Stegostoma tigrinum: one gene and its partners. The protein of the gene in region 1 interacts with the protein of each later gene in a biochemical or structural test. Links are inferred from orthologs where the notes say so. Each region holds a gene or a part of one and is shown on either strand. Other genes may lie near its edges. The genes, in order: skp2, ccne1 and ccna2.

Evidence for each region.
Region 2: the proteins of skp2 (region 1) and ccne1 form a complex in vitro, tested with the Homo sapiens proteins (2 studies listed by BioGRID, with this or other methods). The link is inferred for Stegostoma tigrinum from reciprocal best matches to the Homo sapiens genes SKP2 and CCNE1.
Region 3: the proteins of skp2 (region 1) and ccna2 are reported together in a solved structure, tested with the Homo sapiens proteins (2 studies listed by BioGRID, with this or other methods). The link is inferred for Stegostoma tigrinum from reciprocal best matches to the Homo sapiens genes SKP2 and CCNA2.

Annotation. Positions count from the first base shown.
Region 1 is NC_081356.1:138,440,613-138,447,907, forward strand, and holds the start of skp2 (S-phase kinase-associated protein 2), read right to left. Parts: upstream 3,072-7,295; 5' UTR 3,065-3,071; coding exon 2,964-3,064; intron 2,888-2,963; coding exon 2,649-2,887; intron 1-2,648. Other genes in the region: G-protein coupled receptor-associated protein LMBRD2B, read left to right, coding at 4,000-4,173, 5,642-5,842, 5,975-6,078, 6,331-6,444. UniProt on the Homo sapiens protein: Substrate recognition component of a SCF (SKP1-CUL1-F-box protein) E3 ubiquitin-protein ligase complex which mediates the ubiquitination and subsequent proteasomal degradation of target proteins involved in cell cycle progression, signal transduction and transcription.
Region 2 is NC_081369.1:32,653,102-32,660,056, reverse strand, and holds the start of ccne1 (G1/S-specific cyclin-E1), read right to left. Parts: upstream 3,086-6,955; 5' UTR 2,439-3,085; coding exon of another isoform or gene 2,413-2,438; 5' UTR 2,325-2,412; coding exon 2,199-2,324; intron 2,119-2,198; coding exon 2,059-2,118; intron 638-2,058; coding exon 471-637; intron 362-470; coding exon 226-361; intron 1-225. UniProt on the Homo sapiens protein: Essential for the control of the cell cycle at the G1/S (start) transition.
Region 3 is NC_081354.1:36,737,078-36,745,053, reverse strand, and holds the start of ccna2 (cyclin-A2), read right to left. Parts: upstream 3,038-7,976; 5' UTR 2,893-3,037; intron 2,739-2,892; 5' UTR 2,732-2,738; coding exon 2,528-2,731; intron 1-2,527. UniProt on the Homo sapiens protein: Cyclin which controls both the G1/S and the G2/M transition phases of the cell cycle. Functions through the formation of specific serine/threonine protein kinase holoenzyme complexes with the cyclin-dependent protein kinases CDK1 or CDK2.

The DNA of each region.
Region 1 (7,295 bases):
CTGTTCTGTGCTGTACTGTTCTATGTTCTATGTTCTATGTTCTATGAGTTCAATGTGTTTATTAATAGCCTGCTTCGTGGAGTGCCACACTTCCAGGAATTCTCATGTTTGTCTCTGCCTAGCCTGTCCCAGGACCTTGGTGTTGTCCAGTTGAAGTTGTGGTTTAAAATCCAGGCAGAAAGACACACTGACGTTTCATAGCAGACTGCACTGAGGATGTTACCCAGCATGGTAACGAAACGTCTGTGGAACAACAAACCAGCTCGACGAGCCAAACACCCACAACCTGAGCTACAAATCTACTCCAAAACCTAAGATCCCTCCTTATGCAGCTGGGCCGCCCACTTTGCCCTTGCTGTGTTCCATAGTGGAACCCACGCTGTCATTGTTTTCTAACCCAGAAAAGCAGTCAACAAATAGGATGCCCTCTGGGGTTTTCCAGTCTGCCTGCCTTGCCTCACTTCTCTGCCCAAGTCTCTACTCCCCCTCCCAATTTGTCTAATAATTCAACAAACATATGAACACTAAATTTTATTTGAGAAAGGAATCTAATATTGACAAGCAAATAGTGGTCATTAACTGAAGATTCACCTGCATTTCCATAAAGAGACCAAATTTATAATTGTTGGATTAGGAACTGCATGTTTGTTATTTACAACCCTGTCTATAAAAATAAATATGTTTTAATTCAGAAATCATAACTGAAACCAAAGAGGGACAACAAATAGAAAACAAACGGAAAAAACAAATATGAGAATAGATATGTAAGAGATTACTGAAAACAAACATTTACCCTTCTCAGGTTGCGACTGGTGACAGTATAATGGGAAAGCAAAATTAATTTCAGTTGCAACTTTCCTTTTGCAAAACCGTATTTGTCTCATCACACTGCACTTCTAAATAAAATTTCGCTCAGGAGATTCCAACATTCTCCAATCATGGTCAGAGTATCTACTATCTCAGCAGCATTGTCCTTCTCAGAATCTGTGAAAGTAAGCCATCGGGTCGTGAGGATTTTAAAACATTTGTTCATGGAATGTGGATGCCATTGGCAAGGGAGATGGTTGGTGTCTGCCCTATATTGCCCTGAAACTGAGAGACTCATTTAGCCATTTCAGAAGGCAGTTAAGAGTCAAACCGTTGCTGTGGGTTTGCAGACCAGACAATTTCATTCACTAAATCCTTTCGGGGAAGAAGATTTTCATTCTCACAGAATTGCCATCATTATTGAGGGCGTATTTCAGTTCCACATTTAGTAATTGGATTGAAATTGCAGCAGTGGCCGTGGTAGGATTTGAAGTGTCTTCAAATCACGACCTGGGCTCTTGGATTAATTGTCCAGTGAACACCACTCCCTGAAAATTTCTCTGCCAGCCACTCACCACCCTGACATGGAAATATATCACCATTCTTAGATCAAAATCTGGAATTCCCTCCCACAGGGCATTGTGGGTCAACCAACAGCACACGGACTGCAGCGATTTAAGAAGCCAGCTCACCACACATTCTCAGGGCGGCAACACATTCTCAGGGCGGCAAGTGGGGACAGGAGATAAATAGCGAGTTTTGAGAAGATTTGTAGCTCAGGTTGAGGTTCTGGATGTGATTTTGCTCACTGAGCTGGAAGGTTAGTTTTCAGACGTTTCGTCACCATTCTAGGTAACATCATCAGTGAGCCTCCGGTGAAGCGCTGGTGTTATGGTGTTATGAAATAGAAAGTGGGACATAACACCAGCGCTTCGTCGGAGGCTCACTGATGATGTTACCTAGAATGGTGACGAAACGTCTGAAAACTAACCTTCCAGCTCAGTGAGCAAACTCACATCCACAGGTGATAAATGCTGGCCCAGACAGCAACATCCACATCCCATGAATGAATAAAACAAAACATTACCACTTCCAACAATCTCTCTCGTAATAATATAACTGGTTTCTAGGCTAGATTATGTGATTTTCAAAATGGAATTCAGTGGCACTGTGATCACTATCTCCAAGTAGACCAATTACAATTATATTACTGTTTAAACGTGCCTGATTACAGAATATTTGATGCAAAATAACTTTGTCTCTAGTTGATTCCAGTATGTTTTGCTTCAGGAAATGGTCATGAAAGGTTTCTACAAATTTATCTTCTGGGCTATCTTTGCTAATCTCAGTTTGTATAAAGATTAGAGTATGCTACACAATGATTACACACGTTATTTGTTTTGACAAATGCTGTTTATTTATTCCAATTTCAACAATTTCATTCTGGACTTGAAACCCTGGCACTGTTTCTTTCTCCAGATTCTGCCAGACTTAATAGGTTTCTCCAATACTTTGTCTTTGTTTCAGGCACGATGGATTAACAATGAACAACTCCCACTAGATCATCAGATACCTTCAAGATGTTTGTCTACAGATTTAAGAGTGCTGGGGGGTGGGGACAGCGAGGTCAGAATGCTCTGAAGAAAAACAGCTTTGTACCCTGCATCCCACTTGGTTTGACAAAGACACGACACAGAGATAACACGGTGTGGAGCTGGATAAACACAGCAGGCCGAGCAGCATCTCAGGAGCACAAGCCCCACACACCGTGTTATCTCGGATTCTCCAGCATCTGCAGTTCCCCATTACCTCCGACACATTCACAACCAGCTGCTGTGTACCTGATGGAGAATGGGCACTCTTCCGAAACCTCTTGGAGACCACCTGGTTCTCCTTCCCCCGGCAGCTCCTGGGACGTTTTGGTGGAGCAGCTCGATCTGAAGGCTCCGCTGCTCTGTTTGTTTTCTCCTCGATCAGGCGGACCCCCATCACCGTCATTAACGAGCGGGTCTCAGCGAGGTCCCAGCTCCACGGGACTGTGCTTGGGCCGCAGCTCGATGGTGTCACCTCCTGCAACACACTGAGGGAGACGATCGGTCACTATCCGACCCCAAACACTGCCCGGACACAGAGCTCCGGTCAATCCTTACACTCACCGTGTATCCTTCCCGGGCTCAGGCCCACCCTCCGAGCCGATCCGGGCCCGGGCCCTCTCCCTCTCCCTCTCCCTCGCCCCCTTCCACCTCCCCGTATCCATCTCTCCCCCTTGCTTTTCCGGCGGGAAGTTCGAACTCCGCGCGCTAACCGGATGCCGGGTTTGATTGGCTGTCTTGGGAAGGGGGCGTGGCCACGTCGTTGGCCGCCACCGGCGGGCGTTCTGGGGCTTGTAGGAGGTTCCAGCTTGCGGGACACTACATTACCCAAGAGGCGCCGCGTCGGAAATGACGCGAACGACGTGTCAGAGGTCATCTTCAACCGGAAACAACCGAAGAGAGAAACAGTGAGAGATTGGTTGGGGGGGGCGGTAGTGAGGGAGGAGGGGAGTGAGGAGGGGAAGGGGGGGGGAGAGAGAGGGTTGGAGGGATAGGAAGAGGCAATAACAATGGAGACGGAGACGGAGAGGGAGGGCGGTCGAGGAAAACAACAACATCTCCCTCCCCCTTTCACCTCACCCTCTGGCCCGTCCCCTGCTCTCCCCCCACTACTCCCACACCCCTCCCCCACCTCCCCCACCTCCCCTTCCCCCCACTTTCCCTGGCCCCTCCTTCCGCTCACCCCGTCTCCCCCTCCCCTGCTCTCTCCCCCCCCACTCCCCCTGCACCCCATTTTCCCTCTGTCCTTCCCTCCCCTTTCCACCTCCCCCTTTCCCTCTCTCCATACCACCTTCTTTGACAATCCAAGATAATAAAGTGTGGAGCTGGATGAACACAGCAGGCCCAGCAGCATCTCAGGAGCACAAAAGCTGACGTTTCGGGCCTGGACGCTTTGTGCTCCTGAGATGCTGCTTGGCCTGCTGTGTTCATCCAGCCTCACACTTTATTATCTCTGATTCTCCAGCATCTGCAGTTCCCATTATCTCTGATACTTTCTTTGACATTCAGTTCTTTTTCTTCTCCCCATACAGGGTTATTCAGTGCCTTCTTGGGCAGCGGTGCCTCCCAAAGCCCCCATTCTCTTATTCTCCAACTGACCATGAGTGGGGCAGCATTGGGAATCGATATTGTGGTGGTGTTCTTCCTGGCTCTGCTGGTTCTCTATCGATATGCCGACTTCAGGAAGCAGCACAAGCTGGTGATTGTAGCCACACTGTTAGCCTGGTATCTCTGCTTCCTCATTGTCATCATCCTGCCTCTGGATGTCACCACGGTAACAACACACTAATCTTTTTACCCCACAGTGCCTCTTGTATGTTCTGTTTATCTTTCGTTGCACCATGTCCAAAACACCTGGCAACTACAGTTAGACTAGCCACATGTGAATGATTTGCTGAGGTGCCCAGTCTGCACAAATCAATTGCATAGGCAGTCAGTGCCTGAAGATGTTAAGTTGCCAAGATAAGATCAGATCAGATGCATCAAAGGACGCTGGTAGAAGGTGAGAGTGGAAATTGCAAAGATACGGGGCTGATGTCAGTGAGCTGGTGGGCTGCAAATTTTTGCTCAAAATAAAAACGCAAGTACAGACCAGTTAGTTCAGCCTTGATCCTTATTTAGGATAAAATTAGCAGTCATGACTGATCATCCCTCTCAGTACCCCATTCCCTCTGCCCCTGTATCCTTGAAAAGTATCAACCACTTTCTGTGGCAGAGAATTCTACTGGCTCCCCACTGTCTCGGTAAAGATGTTGCTCCTCATCTAAGTCCTAAACGGTCAGCTTTGTATTATTCGACTTATCCTGTTTTTGGACTCTGCTGTCAACAAGAAAATCCTTCCAGTGTTTACTGGAATCCACATTATAGGCGGGATGTGATAGCAGCAGAGAGGATCCAGAGGAAATTGATCAGGATGCTTGCCCCGACTGGAAAGTTTCAGAGATGAAGAGACATTGGACCAACTGGAGACAGTAAGAACTGCTGATGCTGGCGTCAGAGATACAGTGTGGAGCTGGAGGAACACAGCAGGCCAGGCAGCATCTTTCTGAAAGAAGGGTCCTGAACTGAAATATCATCTCTTAACTCCTCTGATCTGCCTGGTCTGTTGTGTTCCTCCAGCTCCACACTGTGTCATCTTGGACAGACTGGAGTTGTTTTCCTCGGAGCAGAGGAGACTGGCGAGTTCAGATTGAGATGTATATGATCTTGAGGGACGTAAGATACGGTAGAAAGGAAGAAACCTTCCCTCTGGTTGATATGATTGACTGGGGGCATTGATTTATGGAGTCATACATAAACAGACTCTTTGGTCCAGTTCATCTGTGCCGACCAGACATCCCATTCTGACGTAGTCCCATTTGTCAGCATTTGGCCCATGTCCCTCTAATGCCTTTTAAATATTGTAATTGTACCAGCCTCGTCCACTTCCTCTGGCAGCTCTTTCCATACACACACCACCCTCTGCATGAAAAAGCTATCCCTCAGGCCCTTTTTAAATCTTTCTCCTCTCACCTTAAACCTATGTCTTCTAGTTTGAACCACCCACTTCCCTGGGGGTAAAAACCTTGGCTATTCACTCTGTTCATGCCCCTCATGATTTACAAACCTCTATCATGTCATCCCTCAGCCCCCGATGCTGCGGAGAAAAAAGCCCCAGCCTATTCAGCCTCTCCCTATAACTTGAACCCTCCAGTCCCAGCAACAGACGTGTAAATCTTCTGTACTCAACACCCTTCCTTTAGAAGGACAACCAGAATTGTATGCAGTGTTCTGAACGTGGCCTCACTAATGCCCTACATCGTGCAACATTGACATCCCAACTCCAATACTCAAATGGTGTGACCAATGAACGCAAGTGTGTCAGATGTCTCCTTCACCAACAACAACACCATCAGAAGTTGCTGGAAAAGTTCAGCAGGTCTGGGAGCATCTGTGAAGAAAAAGTTAGTGTTAACGTTTCTGGTCCAGTGACCTTTCCTCAGTCTCCTTCACTGTTTATTTGGCCTATTTTTCTTTACTGCCTGTTTTGGGAGTATTTTGATTGAGTGGAGTTTAACTGATGCTTTCTGTTTCAGACCATTTACAGACAGTGTGAAGTTGATAGCTCCAAGATATCACCCAGCAGCGCCCCAAACTCCAGTAAGGTGTTCACAGCCAACAGGACTAACTCCTCCCACGGGTAAGACACCCATAGCCAGTCCATTCAAAACTAATTCACCCTCCCCCATTTCTGACTCCTCCCCTCCTCCACCACCGACCTGCCCCCTCCCTTCCCAGCCACAGATGCCCCCTCATTACTCCTCTCGGCCCCCAACATGGACACCTCTCCGAGGTGCCGACAACTCTTCTTTCCTGTGCACTGCCTGCCTCTCCAGCTTGTGCTGTCATTACTGACCTTCACACTCTGAGGTTCTCATTCTCTTCTCCCTAGTGTGCCGGATATCCCAGTGCTGCAACAATGTTTCAAGCCTTGGAGTTACATCCCGGATGGAATTCTGCCTGTATTCTGGAGAGTTGTCTACTGGACATCACAGTTTTTGACCTGGTAAATGACACAGGAAGCCTGTGTTGGATTCAGCATTTATTTCCCGTCCTTAGTTGCTCTGGAGAAGATGGTGTGGTCTGTTCTTGAACCCCTGTGGTCACCTGTTGGTGAATTAGAGCTCCTCGTGATAGTTTATCGACTGAACTGTCACAAAACTCTCATCATTCCCAGCACTGCGTTTGGCCTGTTATTGTTTACACAGTTATTTAATCAATTTACCTCAGTCAGTGCTCTAACCTCTTGATGTACTGACGCTGCCTCTGGACAAAGTGCCCCAGTTTACATCCTGAATGCCTGATCCAAGCGGATGAGTAATTGTAAGAAATATCCACACTGACAGGTGCACTAGGTTGACCCAAAATGCTGTTAGGGAGGGAATTCCAGAATTTTGACCCATTAACAGTGATGATATATTTCCAAGATAGAATAGTGAGGGGCTCGGTGGGGAACTTGGAGGGGATGGTGTTCCCATGTATCTGCTGCCCTTGCCCTTCCAGATGGAAGTGGTCGTGGGTTTGGAAGGTGCTGCCTGAGGATCTTCGGTGAATTTCTGCAGTGCATCCTGTATATAGTACACTCTACTGCTACTGAGCATCGGTGGTGTTGGATGCTTGTGGATGTGCTGCTTTGTCCTGGAAGAGCTTAGCTAGGAGAACAGCAAGTTCTGGAGCAGAGGTTTAAATGTAAAGTCACTGTTTATTGCTGGCATCAGTCATTTAATGAACTGGGACACACACCATTCACTAGCTCGTATCCTTTGATGCACCCTCGTCTGCACCCTGTGTGCTGTTACAGGTGAAATTGGCAGCTCGCCACAACCCCCTCCAGACCAGTTAGGTATAGGAAGCAGA
Region 2 (6,955 bases), on another chromosome or scaffold:
TAAACTTGGAACTGATTACATTAATACAAGCAGTTCAAGCTGAACATCCAGCAGTTTTCAGAGTAACTGGAGACAATAAGTGGGATCTTGTTCTCATCCAAAAAAGGATTTGTTAACATTTGAAGAGTACTTTTTGGGGACTATTTCCAATATTGGTTTAAATTTTAAAAAAAACCACATTATCCACACAGAAGTTTGAATGAGTACTCGTTACAAAGTCCTTACCTCCATTAACCAGTCAAGAAGAATAGCTCTCATCTTAGGTTGCAAGAGTGGATGCTTTTGGAAAACATCTTTGTCTCTCAAGTAAGCCTGCTCCTTCTTCAGAAGGATATTCCATACTTCTTCATGATTTCCCCAGCTATTTGTATTTAAGAAAATAATGTCACCATAATTGACCTATGCAAAGCTGTCTTCTTGCATTATGAAATATGGCTAAGACAGTGCAAGTTTAGTGTATAAATACTTACCACAATGCTGGTAATGGTGAAGCTCTAGTTGGAGTGGCTAAAACATTTTTGAGCCTGTACTGCACACAGCTAGTAGAATTTGATGTAACCATGTCATCTAGATTTGTGCATGATGTTGCATGTAGTCTGTATGGACTCATACAGTTGGCTACAGTAGTCCAGCAATCCTGCAATTAGTCAATTTTGCAAACAAACTAATCATTAGAATAGTTGTCAATTTTCAGACTGAATTCAGCTTAACAGTGGCAAAAAAACATCACTAGTCCAAAAGTCTGAACTGGCTAATCCCTCTCAATTAACATTCCATGCTGCTATTCCAATACTGTCACTTTACCCCAATTCACTAGAATCACTTGATTAGCTGGTAATGTTAGAACCATGCTTGACTATCTTTCATTAAAGCTAGAGAAGGAATAAAAAAACCAACAACTTGGCAGAATTACTCCAATTCACCTAGAACTGTGAGGTAGCAGGATCGGAGCCCACATTCTCCACCCTTTGGGCCAGCGCAGAGACTTAGTAGTTAGCACTGCTGCCTCAGTGCCAGGGACCCAGGTTCACTTCCAGCCTCGGGTCTGTCTGTGTGGAGTTTGTACATTCTCCCAGTGTCTGCACGGGTTTGCTTTGAGTGCTCCAGTTTCCTCCTGAAGTCCAGAGATGTGCAGGGTAGGTGGATTGGCCGTAATAAATTCATAGTGCCCAGGGATGTTAGGCACGGGAAATGGGTCTGACTGTTGTGCTCTTCAGGAGGGGCAGACTGGACCTGTTGGGCCAAATGGCTTGTTTCCACACTGTAGGGATGCTACAAGATGTTCCTTCAATTAAGTTGGTTAAATGGTAGGACAGGATCAGTGGCAACTCAAACATGGGCTGTTCTGGTAAAGGGACAGTGTGAATAGCATTGTACAAAAGGAGCCATAAAGTTGGATTAGCCATCACCTTGTTGAATAGCAGAGCAGGCTCGAAGGACTGAACAACCTACTCCTGTTGCTATTTCTTACACTTAGTTCTTGCATCATACTTGTGAGTTCCCTGAGTGAAGTTTTTAAATTGTGCAATTTTGAGCTGATTTTCCAGTGTTAGATTTACCCAGATCCAAAGTATTGAGATAAAACTATTAAAAAGTTACAACCAAAATTTCTGCCCAGGTGCCCTACATCCCAGCCTACCTGCTTCACAAAACCTTACTGCAAGATCTATTGGTATTGCCACACTAGAATTCTAGCATTGCTAGATACTCTTGGCTAGTTTTGAAAGATATTAAACCCCAGATTTTATTAAAATATTTGGGTCAAGGGGAAAAAAGCACTCTAGAAACCACCACAGTGGTTTAATTTTAATACTCAGTTATTGGATAATTTGCTTACTGTGAAGCTAATCAAGTGCTCCTGAGAAACCAAAACATGTTCAAGACGACCAAGGCCTGGATTATATGCCTAAACAATGTACAACACTGCTATTCAGTTAGTGGCAACATGTTGACCAGAATCGAAATAGCTCAAGATTAAGAGGTTGGCTAAACAAACAATCATCTACGCATAGCAAAAGTCATAGTTAAATAAAACCTGCAGACCTCATATTCTATTACCTCCTTTTCGTATGGTTTCGTAGACTGCACTTCTGTAAGTTCATCCAAGTCTTGCAAACACTACGATCAGAAAAGACCGATTACCAAACTTAGAAAGCGTGCTAAAGCACAATGGCATATTCATGTGCGGTTAAACTTACAATGGCAACGTCGGCTTTTCGCTTTCGGGTATGCAGCACAATCCTGTTCGTTTCTTCAGTTTTCGTTGATTGGTCTACTAATTCACTGAAAAGAAATAATAGCTTAAAAAATGCACATTTGCTCATTATGGCAAAATGCCTTGTAGAGATTAGGCCTTGTAGAGACACCCACCGTGAATTTATAACTGGTAACACGGCACTGCTTTCAACTCACTTTAAAATGTACCTTTTTCTGGGCATCTTCAGTGTTGTTTGTGTGGTTTAAAGATCTCCTGTAATTCAGAAGGGAGAGGCTGCATGAAGTTACTGTCGCTTCTCGAGGTAGTGAGGTGGTTGCTGCTGCTTACTCACAGGAGTGGACCTCAGGTTTGGGCGCGGGATGGGGTGGGGGCCACGCTCCTCTGGCCCAGTCACATTACTGGTGTTGGGAAAAGAGGGGATGAGAGGGAGGGCACTCAGCCCCAAGCCGGCCTCTGATCTCAGCGCACAGCCGAAGATGGCCGAAGCCGGGACCCCGCGCTGCCTGCTGTTTAACCGGGAAGAATGTGGGTACGACCAGCCTGCGCTGATGGGGTGTCAGCTGGTGCTCACCACTAGGTGACCCTCGGTATCTGTGCCCCGTTTCTATGGTCTTATCGCCCCCTGTCTTCTTGCTCTGTAGCCTGCCGCTGATGCTTCCCTCCAGTTAGCCCTCAGCCGGCTCCCGCTCTTAGCCCAGCTCCGCTCCACAGTGCCGGCTAGTCTCTCTTCATCGCGCTTGCGCTGATCCCTTTAAATCGCTGGCGGGAGTCAAGCGCGCGTTCTCAGCCGGAGGAAGTTGTCACAGGCCACGCCCCTGTCCCCTTAGGCTCCGCCCCGCGCTCCTTAGCTCATGCTCCCTCCTTCACCCCTTGTGTCCGGCTTGTCCCACTCAAACAGACTCGCTGCCAAACCCCGCCCTTCCCAGGAACCCCACCCACCCAGAACGTCATGCGCCACATCACGCCACACTTCCCCTCTCCGACCCCGCCCACCAGTGCGAAATGGGTGGCGATAATGACGGTGAAGATTGGGGATGTGGTCAGTACGTGGGTCGAAGATAAACAAAATTCCCGGCCTTCAGCCTGGGGGCCTGGAGCCGTAGAGCCATGGAGCCTTAGGGCCAGGCTCATTCCCTTTCCCGACCTAGACTGAAGCTCCAAAAGCTTGTGTTTTCAAATAAACCTGATGATTTCTGACCTTGTCCACCCCACCCCAACATCGGCACCTCTACATCATGTGTGTCTTTGACTGTCAGTGAGAGAGGGTCACCAAGCAGCCTGCTGCTTTGAACCCTCGCTTAGATCTCAGAGGTGATGAGCTTGTAGCAGCTGTGAGACCGTGCAAGCTCATTGTGTTGTACTGGAGATGGTGCAGCTGCGGCCAATGCCAGGTGAGAGGTCAGTCCTGTCATTGATCGGGGGTGACAGTGACTGATACTCTCGTACAATATCTACCTCCTCTTTTCTAGGGGCTTCTCTCAGTGGGTTGTCAGTGTCTCAGATAACCAGGAAGGCCTGTGAGGAGGCTGGGGTTGTATGTATCTCTCAACTTTGCCTCCTATCACCCATTCCCCCAACTGGCTTCAGGTCTTCACTGTTTGTTGTCATTTTATTTATTTCCCTGGATTGTAGCCGCATCTGAAAACCAAATGATCCTTCTCACAATAGACTGGTATGTTCTTAAGAACCACTTTATGATATTGCAAACGCTTCACATATTTTGCTATCACCCTTAATTGCTGATCATTCCTTAAGTCACCAACTCCAATTAAGGAAAAAGAAAGGGGTAGTAGCTGTAACCTACAGACTTCCTGCTACAACAGTAATGTGTCAGAATGTTGTTTTGTTCAGAAATCAGGACAATAGAAGTGAAAGCGAAGACCTTTTTGTCGGAGACTTTAATTTCAGGGCTGTTAGGCAGAGCAAAGTGGCTTGAATTAAAGATAAATGATAAATATAGAAAGGGTATATATATATCTATGTACAAACTTATGAGGGATGGCATTTTGATGCAGTTGTAGTTATGGCAAAACTTTTAGTTTTTGCACTTGCACAGTTGGTGACAGAAACCCATTGCTGTTGGTGTCTCATCATTCCTGAGTACATCTGAATTGGCTTGAACCTGCACTTTTCATGTTACAACTGAGTCTGTAAAAAAAAACTTTGAACGTGTTAGAGTTGACTGAGATGAACAGAGTTTTAAACAGTGCTCAACCAACTTTCTGGGTTTTATCATTTATATTTGTGAAATGTCATTTTCATTCAATGACTTTAAAAGTCTACAGGCTTTTAAAGTACAATTTAAAAGAAACTTGTATTTCTTCCCCCACCTTGATCATGTATCATGTTTATTTTACTTTCGATGATTTAGTGAAACATAAGTGTTAAAACCTGCTTGTTATTTCCTGGTTTGCTGCCTATAAGAACTCTGCTTTGTGATTGGCTGCTTCATTTGCATGGTAACATCACTGTTGTTGAACCATTCTCGAAGCTGATTCCAAAATTAATTTAATGTCAATAAAGGTAAAATCAATTTCTTAAAGCTTGCTAGATCTTTATGGACAACTTTCATTCATGGCAGCAACAAGCATCATCATTTTGCCTCTCAATGCAAACTCTGGCAAAAAAAATTTTACAGTTAGACAATCATAGAATCCTACAGCACAAAGACAGGGCCTTTGTCCCAAATTGGACCATGCTGACCATGTTGATCCATGCTAACCCCATTGCCCTGCACTTGACCTATATCCTTCTAAACCTTTTCTATCCGTCTTTTTGTCCAAATGTTGTTGATGCACCCCTCCCCACCACTACTTCCGCAGCTCATTCCATATGCATACCATCCTGTCTAAAAAAGTTGCCCTCAGGTTCCCATGTATTCTTTCCCCTCTTACCTTAAACTGAGCCCTCTAGTCCTCGACTTCCCAAACCTGTTAAAAAGGCTGAATGCATTCACCCTATTCATGCCTTTCATGATCTTATGCACTTCTGTAAGATGCCCCCTCAGTCTCCTAAGCTTGAAAGAGAAAAGTCCTAGCTTGTCCATCCTCTCCCTATAAATCAGTCTTGGAGTCCTGGCAACATTCTTGTAAATTTCTTCTGCCCTCTTTCCATTTTAATAACATTCTTCCCACAACAAGGTGACTAAAACAGAACATATTATTCCAAGGGTAGCCTCACCAACGTCCCGTACAACTGCAACTAGCTGCCCAACTCCTATACTCAGTGCCCTGACTGGTGAAGGCCAGTGTTTCAAAAGAATTCTTCACTGCCCTGTCTACCTGTGACTCCACTTTCAGAGAACTGTGCACCTATATTTCAAGATCCCCTGTTTCACTACACTCATTAAGGCCCTTCCATTTGCCATGAAACTCTTACCTTGATTTGACTTTCCAAAATACAACACGTCACACTTATCTATATTAAACTCCGTTTGCTATTTCTCAGCCCACTTCCCCAACTGATCAAGATCCTGCTGCAATTTCAAATAACCTTCGTCACAGTCCACGATACTACCAATTTTAGTGTCATCTGCAGACTTACTAATCATGCTTTCTCATCCTCATTCTCATCCAAATCATTGACATAGATAACAAACAACAATGGGCCCAGCATAGACCCCTGAGGCACACCACTATTCACAGACCTCCAGTCTGACAAGCATCCTTCCACTATTACTCTCTGCTTCTTACCATCAAGCCAATTGTGTATCTAATCTGCCAGCTCTCCCTGGGTTCCATGCGATCTAACCATCTAACCAGCCTACAATGTGGAACCTTATCAAAGGCCTTACTGAAACCCATATAGTTTACATCTACCGACCTGCCCTCATCAACTTTCCTGGTCACTTCAAAGAATTCTAACAAATTTGTGAGGTATGATGTCCCATGCTCAAAACCATGCTGCTACTATTAATCAACCCTGCCTTTCCAAATGGATGTATACCCCTCAGAATACCACAGATGTTAAGCTTACTAGTCTATAATTCCCAGTTTGTTTTTGCAACTCTTCTTGAACAAGAGCAGAAGCTTCGCTATCCACCAGTCTTCTGGGTCGTCATCTATGGGTAACGATGATGCAAATATATCGGCCACGACCCTGCAGTTTCTTTCCTAGCTTCTTGCAAGGTTCTTGGATATACCTGGTTAGAAGCAGGAGACTTATCCATCCATGCATTCTAATACTTACAACACCACCTCCAGTGTGATATGCCCATATCCTGCAGTTCCACACATATATGTCCACTTTGGACATTGAAGGGTCCTATTGTTTCTCTAGTTATCCTTCTTCCTTTAATACTTAAAGATCCTCTTTGGATTCACCATTGTCTTCTCAGCCAAAACTGCCCTCCTGATTTCCTTGATAATGGGAACTGCAGATGCTGGAGAATCCAAGATAATAAAATGTGAGGCTGGATGAACACAGCAGGCCCAGCAGCATCTCAGGAGCACAAAAGCTGACATTTCGGGCCTAGACCGTTCATCAGAGAGGGGGTTGGGGTGAGGGTTCTGGAATAAATAGGGAGAGAGGGGGAGGCGGACCGAAGATGGAGAGAAAAGAAGATAGGTGGAGAGAGTATAGGTGGGGAGGTAGGGAAGGGATAGGTCAGTCCAGGGAAGACAGACAGGTCAAGGAGGTGGGATGAGGTTAGTAGGTAGGAGATGGAGGTGTGGCTTGGGGTGGGAGGAAGGGATGGGTGAGAGGAAGAACAGGTTAGGGAGGCAGAGACAGGTTGGA
Region 3 (7,976 bases), on another chromosome or scaffold:
ACCAGGATGTTGCCCTGAATGGAGGGAAGGTCTTACGAAGAAAAGTTGAGACAGCTAGGACTTCTCTTTAGAATGACGAAGGATGACAGGTGACTTGATAGAGGTGTACAAAATGATCAGAGGTATAGATCAAGTAGATAGCTAGAGACTTTCCCACCCCCACCCCCCCAGGGTAAAGGTAGCTTTTACAAGGGGACATAGTTTAAAAATGAGTGGAGGTAGATATAGGGGAGATGTCGAGGTAGGTTCTTTACAGAGTGGTAGGGGTTAGGAATGCATTGCTGGAGAGGGTAGTGGAGTCGGCCACATTAGCGGCATTTAAGTGGCTCATAAATAGGCATATGAATGCTAGTGTAAAGGTAGGGGTGGAGATTAGAAAGACCTTAGGATTAGGGTAAAGTTCAGCACAACATCATGGGCCGAAGGGCCTGTACTGTTCAGTGTTCGAAGTACGCAAAGGATTTTTTTGGGGGGGTGTGAGGGGGGGGTGGGTGGATGGATGGAATATGCTTTCATATGAAAACCAAAAGATTTCAATGAGAGATGGGCACATAGGGTATCCATTGCAAGTCTACCTATGGGTATAGCAGTTGTTAATTTCCAAGGCTACACAGTTGCTCAGGTCATGATCAGAGCAGACAGTTTCAGAAAATGGCAGCATGTCTAGATGGCATGATAATGAAGAACAAGTTATCCCATTATTTTCCATGATAATGACTTGACCTGAGATGATGTGCCAACCAATCAGCATATTTTCTTTTTAATAATTACAGCATACATTATTGCTCCCTCTGAAATTTGATGTTCCTTGTGTAGGGCAAAGACACTTCAATAGCATGTCTCTTTTTCAAAGCTTGATTTTTAAAAATAAGAAATAACATTACATTATTTTAAGAGAAGCAATCACAAACCAGATCTTTTCTTGAACTCAACTTTGTCATGAAAAAGACTCTGTTCCAAATGCAGTAGCACATTCTTACTTTTTAAGATGGAATTGTGTCTTTTAAGTAGTATGTTTTTAAAAAGAAAAATTCAGTAGCTCTAGAATTGAAGAACGGACTCAGAAGCAGGAGGGGGAAATGTAATTTTCTACTTGAAAAACAAAAAGGAAGAGACTGAAAACCAAACGAGGGCAGATTCAGTTCAATTGTGATATTCACTTCACCAAAATACTTCCAACACCTCTAGGTTTATTTGGGTGGAAGTGCCAAATGATTCTATCCACAAAAATTGTGGCAGATGTTCAGCTTCTGGGTGAAGCACAGAATCACCTACGACTAATGATCCAAGACTGCAGAAACATGCAAATTTAACTCAGGTGCAGATGTGGAGAAAACAAGAGTATCTCAGCTCAGTTATTTGATTATTTCCCTATTGGCATACAACACCTTGGTAGACATAAAGTGTTCAACTCCCAAGGATTCCAGTCAGGTCAAAGGCTTATATAACTCTACAGAAAGTCTGTTTATTGGTAACCAAGATCAGTCAACTATTCCTTTTGACTGAATTATTGTCACGAGTACTGAAGTGCAGTGAAAAGCTTTGTTTGCAATCGGTACAAGAAAATCACAGTAAAGTAAGGATGTACAGATCAGAGGTTGTACAAAGATGCAGGTTACATTACAAAGGGCACGCGCTAGGCGAAATCAACGTTAGCAAGATGAGCATTATTTGAGGCTAGAGTGTGTCCATTTCAGTCTACTAACTGCCGGGAAGAAGCTGTTTATGATCCTGAACTTTGAACAAGCACCATAAATTCATGAAGTATGTCCCATTTGAAAAAAGTTGTTATAGTGACGTTAATTAAAAAGTAACCTATCTATTTAAAATACTACTCAAGCCGTATGGAATCATACAGTTCTCGATTTTCCAATAAACTGCCTATTTTATCGTTAGCATGCTCATTGCAGTGGCATCACTGACGATTTAGAGTATAGTTGCGATTCACAAATTCACTCTTTCCGGAGTCCCGGAATCGGGGGAAACCAGGCTAAAATCCAGTAGATGATTTCCTCAATATTTGCTAGGCCGGCGGAGAAGAGAAGAACTCAATGATTTCAATTTAAACCTACACGCGTAAAATGTGAAGTTCTTCCGCAATCCAATTATGAGAAACTATTAGGACACCCTAGCAACAAGGTCGTTTTGGCTTGCGGGCTGATATAGAGTTAAAGAGTGTGGAGCACTTTTAATGCTTACGTGTAAGCGTTCAATAAAGTGCTGCATCACACAAGTAACTATTGCTATCAATATGCGAGTACCACTATTTTTCGAACGTCAACCAGCGTAAAAGCTTTAAATTGCAACGTGGAGGACAATCCAGATATTTGTGAGCCGTTGCAAAACGGAAACTGAATGGTGTTGGAGCAATTTGAATTTAACGCTAATCCTCATCGCCGAGAAACCGTCGGATGATATATATTAACCAGTCGTGGCATTCGCGTACTCAGAGTCCGTACTGGAGACCACCGCCGACAGATTGTACCTGCACCGATCATCCAGTGACAGAACCTGCCTCTTTACTTACGGGTTTGCGATGGGGCTGTAAAGCTTGATTACTCTGCAACACTCCGAGCACCTTCCTGCCACCGACAGGGGTAGGAACGGCGACTCTGCCCGCATTTCGCTCCCGGCCTCCCGGTTCCTGACCCTGCCAGCTGACGGCTTTCACCGCCTGGGGTAGCACGTTTTCCCAGTCCCTGGAGACAGCGTCGCGAGAAGCCCGATACATTCTCGAACTCCGGGATTTTTAAAAAAAAATTAAAAATCTTACTTTAAAAAAACTGTACACGTTTCCTTTGAAACAAAAAACACGGGCAAAATACACCGTCGAGTTAAAATCGGAATGAGACCGGGCTGGCGGCTCGGAGCTGTGTCCAGGCTCCCCGTTACCTGTGAAAGGGAGCGACCCCAGCTCGAGCGCCACCGGCCGGGTCCCGCTCTATAATCGGTCCTCCACCTAACGCCAGACTGCGTGGATTGATAGACAATTGTCCTCCCCTCCCCCCAACCCCCGTGCGGCCTGGGACAGTTTGTTCAATTGCTCTTTTCAGGTTCCTCCTCCCCCTGATCAGCTCAGACGTCACCACCGGCAACTGATAAAACCCCATTCAGTTCAAGTGTCCCGCGTCTATTGAAACCAGCCAATGGGTGCTTGATGTGCGGACGCACGTCGGTTCCGTTTCAGATTTGAATTTTTTTCCCCTGCCTCTTATTATTCGCGCGGTCGCGGTTGTCAATCAAAGGAAGAAGAAAATGGGCGGAAGCTGCAAGATGGGAAAGAATTGCTTGGGGTGCAAACAGCGAGTGAGTGCCTTCAGGGAAGTAGAAAAAAATGCAACATGTTAACATTAGTGCAAACATACCATTAGCAAAACGGAAACAGTTTACATTTTGTTAGCCTTTGTGCTCCAAAGATGCTGCATGGCCTACTGTGTTCATCCAGCTACACACTTTGTTATCTCGGATTCTCCAACATCTGCAGTTCCCATTATCTCTGATACAGTTTACATTTACATGTGTTGCACTGTCACTTGCACCCCCATCCATTTATTTTTCTATTGTCTTCAAAATGTTGATTCACAGTGTAGTAGAGTTAGAAAAATGGCTTTTTGTGCAGTTTAGTGCATATCATTCTTCACTTTTGAGCCTGTAAAGAAATTGGAGCTCTGCCATTTAATAATACCATGGTTGATCTGTTTGTGCTTCAAATCTACACTTTCATCTGTCCCCAGTAACCTTTGATTTTCTCTACTTAACAAAAATCTATCTCTATTAAAAATATTCAATGACCCCCATTTCCACTGCCTTCTGAGGCAAGGTTCCAACCTGCTGGAACAAAAGTCACCTTATCTGTTCCAAAAAAGATGATTTCTAATTTTAAAACTTTTTTATTATCCTGAGGAGTAGCATTTTTGCACTACCACAGATCATGTTAAGTGTTTACAGCCAGGGTTGAGACTACTCAACAATCACCAGGCATAAAACATTAAAACATATTATTGTAAGTAGTTGCAGAAAATTCAGATGGACCTTGAAAACAATTTTTTTTTTCATTTAATACTTCTGTTTATGGATTCTACAGATATTGGAGATGGGAGTAAAATTGGATGTTTGGCAATGGAACTATCAGTTCTGAGGAAGAGTCGCTGGACCTGAAACATTAACTCTGTTTTCTCCTTCACAGATGCTGCCAGACCTGCTGAGCTTTTCCAGCAACTTTGTTTTGGTTCCTGATTTACAGCATCTGCAGTTCTTTTGGCTTTTATTTAGTTAAAAGAAAGGACTGATATTAAATGAAATATTCAGAAAACAGGAAGAAAGGGAGGTTGAACAATTTATTAATTAGATATAACAGAAACATTAGAAAACATTAACACATAGCAGTAAGACATGTAGGTTTTATGTTGATTGTCATAAAAGACAATAAAGAATCTATCATTGACCACCTAATGGTGGCAGGAAAGTGTACAGTGAAAGATGTAATAAGGCAGGGAAAATCCAAATTCCTTGAAATGAATTGCCAAAGAGTTATGTAAAGAGAAAGGAACAGGGATCCTGCAAAGGTGCTTTTTTGTGACTCAGTATGTGACAAGCATAAAATGATTTACTACAGAATGTAGTAATGGAGAAAAAAGCAGAAAATAAGAAAAGTCTAAGTATGAACTTATCTACAAAATAAGAACAATGATATAATATAGATTATGACAATAATTCAGATAGCCATAAATAGAACAAAGATGGGGAATTAGAAGAGAAACAGTATGGTGGCTCAGTGGTTAGCACTGCAGCATCACAGCGCCAGGGACCCAGGTTCGATTCCAGCCTCGGGTAACTGCCTGTGTGGAGTTTGCACGTTCTCCCTGTGTCTGCGTGGGTTTCCTCCGGGTGCTCCGGTTTCCTCCCACAGTCCAAAGATGTGCAGCCTAGGTGGATCGGCCATGCTAAATTGCCCGTAGTGTTCAGGGGTGTGTGGATTATAGGGGGTCTGGGTGGGATGCTCCAAGGAGCAGTGTGGACTTGTTGGGCTGAAGGGTCTGTTTCCACACTGTAGGGAATCTAATCTAATCTAAAAGAAACATTGATAGAACTCATGAAAGTAAAATGGGCTCATTAACTCTGTTTTTTCCTTCTCAGATGCTGCCAGACCTGCTGAACTTCTCCAGCAACTTTTTATTCCTGATTTACAGCACCCGCAGTTCTTTCAGTTTTTATTTAGTATGTTCAACAGTTTGGTCCAGATATCATAGAGAGGTGCAGGTTCATTAAGACCATAAGACAAAGGAGTGGAAGTAAGGCCATTCGGCCCATCGAGTCCACTCCGCCATTTAATCACGGCTAATGGGCATTTCACCTCCACTTACCTGCACTGTCCACGTAGCACTTAATTCCTTGCGAGATCAGGAATTTATGATTCTCTGCCTTGAAGACATTTAACGTCCCAGCCTCCACTGCGCTCCGTGGCAATGAATTCCACAGGCCCACCACTCTCTGGCTGAAGAAATGTCTCCTCATTTCTGTTCTAAATTGACCCCCTCTAATTCTAAGGCTGTGCCCACGGGTCCTAGTCTCCCCACCTAACGGAAAAGACTCCCCAGCGTCCACCCTTTCTAAGCCATGCATTATCTTAGAAGTTTCTATTAGATCTTCCCTCAACCTTCTAAACTCTAATGATTACAATCCCAGGACCCTCAGCCGTTCATCGTATGTTAGGCCTACCATTCCAGGGATTATCCATGTGAATCTCCACTGGACATACTCCAGTGCCAGTACGTCCTTCCTGAGGTGTGGGGCCCAAAATTGGATGCAGTATTCTAAATGGGGCCTAACTAGAGCTTTATGAAGTCTCAGAAGCGCTTTGCTGCTTTTATTTTCCAACCTTCTTGAGATAAGTGACAACATTACATTCTCTAATCTAATCATGGACTCAACCTGTAAGTTAACCTTTACAGAATCCTGGATCAACACTCCCAGATCCCTTTGTACTTTGGCTTTATGAATTTTCTCATGGTTTAGAAAATAGTCCATGCCTGTATTCTTTTTGCCAAAGTGCAAGACCTCGCATTTGCTCACGTTGAATTTCATCAGCCATTTCCTGGACCACTCTCCTAAACTTTCCAAATCTTTCTGCAGCCTCCCCACCTCCTGCCTGTACTACCTGCCTGTCCACCTAACTTCGTATCATTGTCAAACTTCACCGGAATGCCCCCAGTCCCTTCATCCAGATCATAAATATATAAAGTGAACAGCTGCAGCCCCAACACTAAACCCTGCGGGACACCACTTGTCACCAGTTGCCATTCTGCAAAAGAGCCTTTTATCCCAACTCTCTGCTTTCTGTCACACAGCTAATCCTCAATCCATGCCAGTAGCTCACCTTGAACACCATGGGCCTTCACCTTACTCAGCAGCATCCTGTAAGGCACCTTATCAAAGGCCTTTTGGAAGTCTAGATAAGTAACATCCACTGGGTTTCCCTGGTCTAACCTACTTGTTATCCCTTCAAAGAATTCTAACAGGTTTGTCAGGCACAACCTCCCCCTTACTAAATCCATGCTGACTTGTTCTAATCTGACCCTGCACTTCCAAGAATTTAGAAATCTCATCCTTAATGATGGATTCTAGAATTTTACCAACAACCGAGGTTAGGCTAATCGGCCTATAATTTTCTATCTTTTGTCTTGCTCCTTTCTTAAACAAGGATATTGCAACAGCGATTTTCCAATCATCTGGGACTTCTAACACCTCCGCTATTTCCTCAGCCACCTCCCTCAAAACTCTAGGATGTAGCCCGTTGGGGCCAGGAGACTTATCAATTTTTAGACCTCTTAGCTTTTCCAGCGCTTTCTTTTGTAATGCCTACCGTACTCAACTCTGCCCCCGACTCTCCCTAATTGTTGGCATACTACTCATGTTTGCCACTGTGAAGACTGACACAAAGTACTTAAGTTCTTCAGCTATTTCCTTATCTCCCATCACTAGCCTTCCAGCATCAATTTGGAGGGACCCAATGTCTACTTTTGCCTCTTGTTTGTTTCTTATGTATTGAAAGAAACTTTTAATATCATTTCTAATATTACTGGCTAGCCTACCTTCATTATGGGATGGTGTGACCAACAATACACATTGTAAGGTAAGATAAATGCAAAGGATTTTTGGAAACTGATCCTATTCTATTCTTAACTACCTGTGAGGATGAGGGTGAAGAGCATAGTTGTACTGTACAACCTCAACATAATATCCCAACTCCTATACTCATAGGCCTGAGCAATAAAGGCAAGCACGGTAAACACCTTCCTAATCACCCTAACTTTGTGATGCAAACTTCAAAGAATTATGTACCTGAATGCATAGGTCTCTGTCCTACACATTACCTAAGGTCCAACTTTTACTGGTTAATTCTTGCCTTTATTTGTTTTACCAAAATGCAGTACCTCACATTTATCCAAATTAAACTGCTACTCTTCAGCCGATTGACCCAATTGATCAAGATCTCTTTGTAATTTTAGATAACCTTCTTCACTGTCCACTATACTGCAAACTAAATAAACCAGGTTAGAAAGTTTATAAGAAAGAAAGGAAAATGGTAAAGGCAGAACAGTGCTTTTGGTGATTAAGGAAAAAAATCACTTCAATAAGAATGGATAGAACATTGGAGACTTTATGGGTAGAATTATGAAAATATTTAAGTCTGTAGTGGAAGTTGTGTAGATACCTTAATAGCAGCTGTAAAATGGTAATTGCACAAATGTAGATAAGACATGCATGCAGTCAAGACAGATTGATTTTAATAAGCCAATTTAATTTTCATATAGCATGAGACATGCAGTCTTGCAAGTCTCAGAAGGATGAATTTCTTGACAGTTTTGGGATAATTTTCTGTGATAACATAACCAGTGAGGGGGTAGACCATTTTAGGTCCAGTAATGCAAAACTAGCCAGATTTAAACGACAGCCAAACCATAAGACACAGCAGC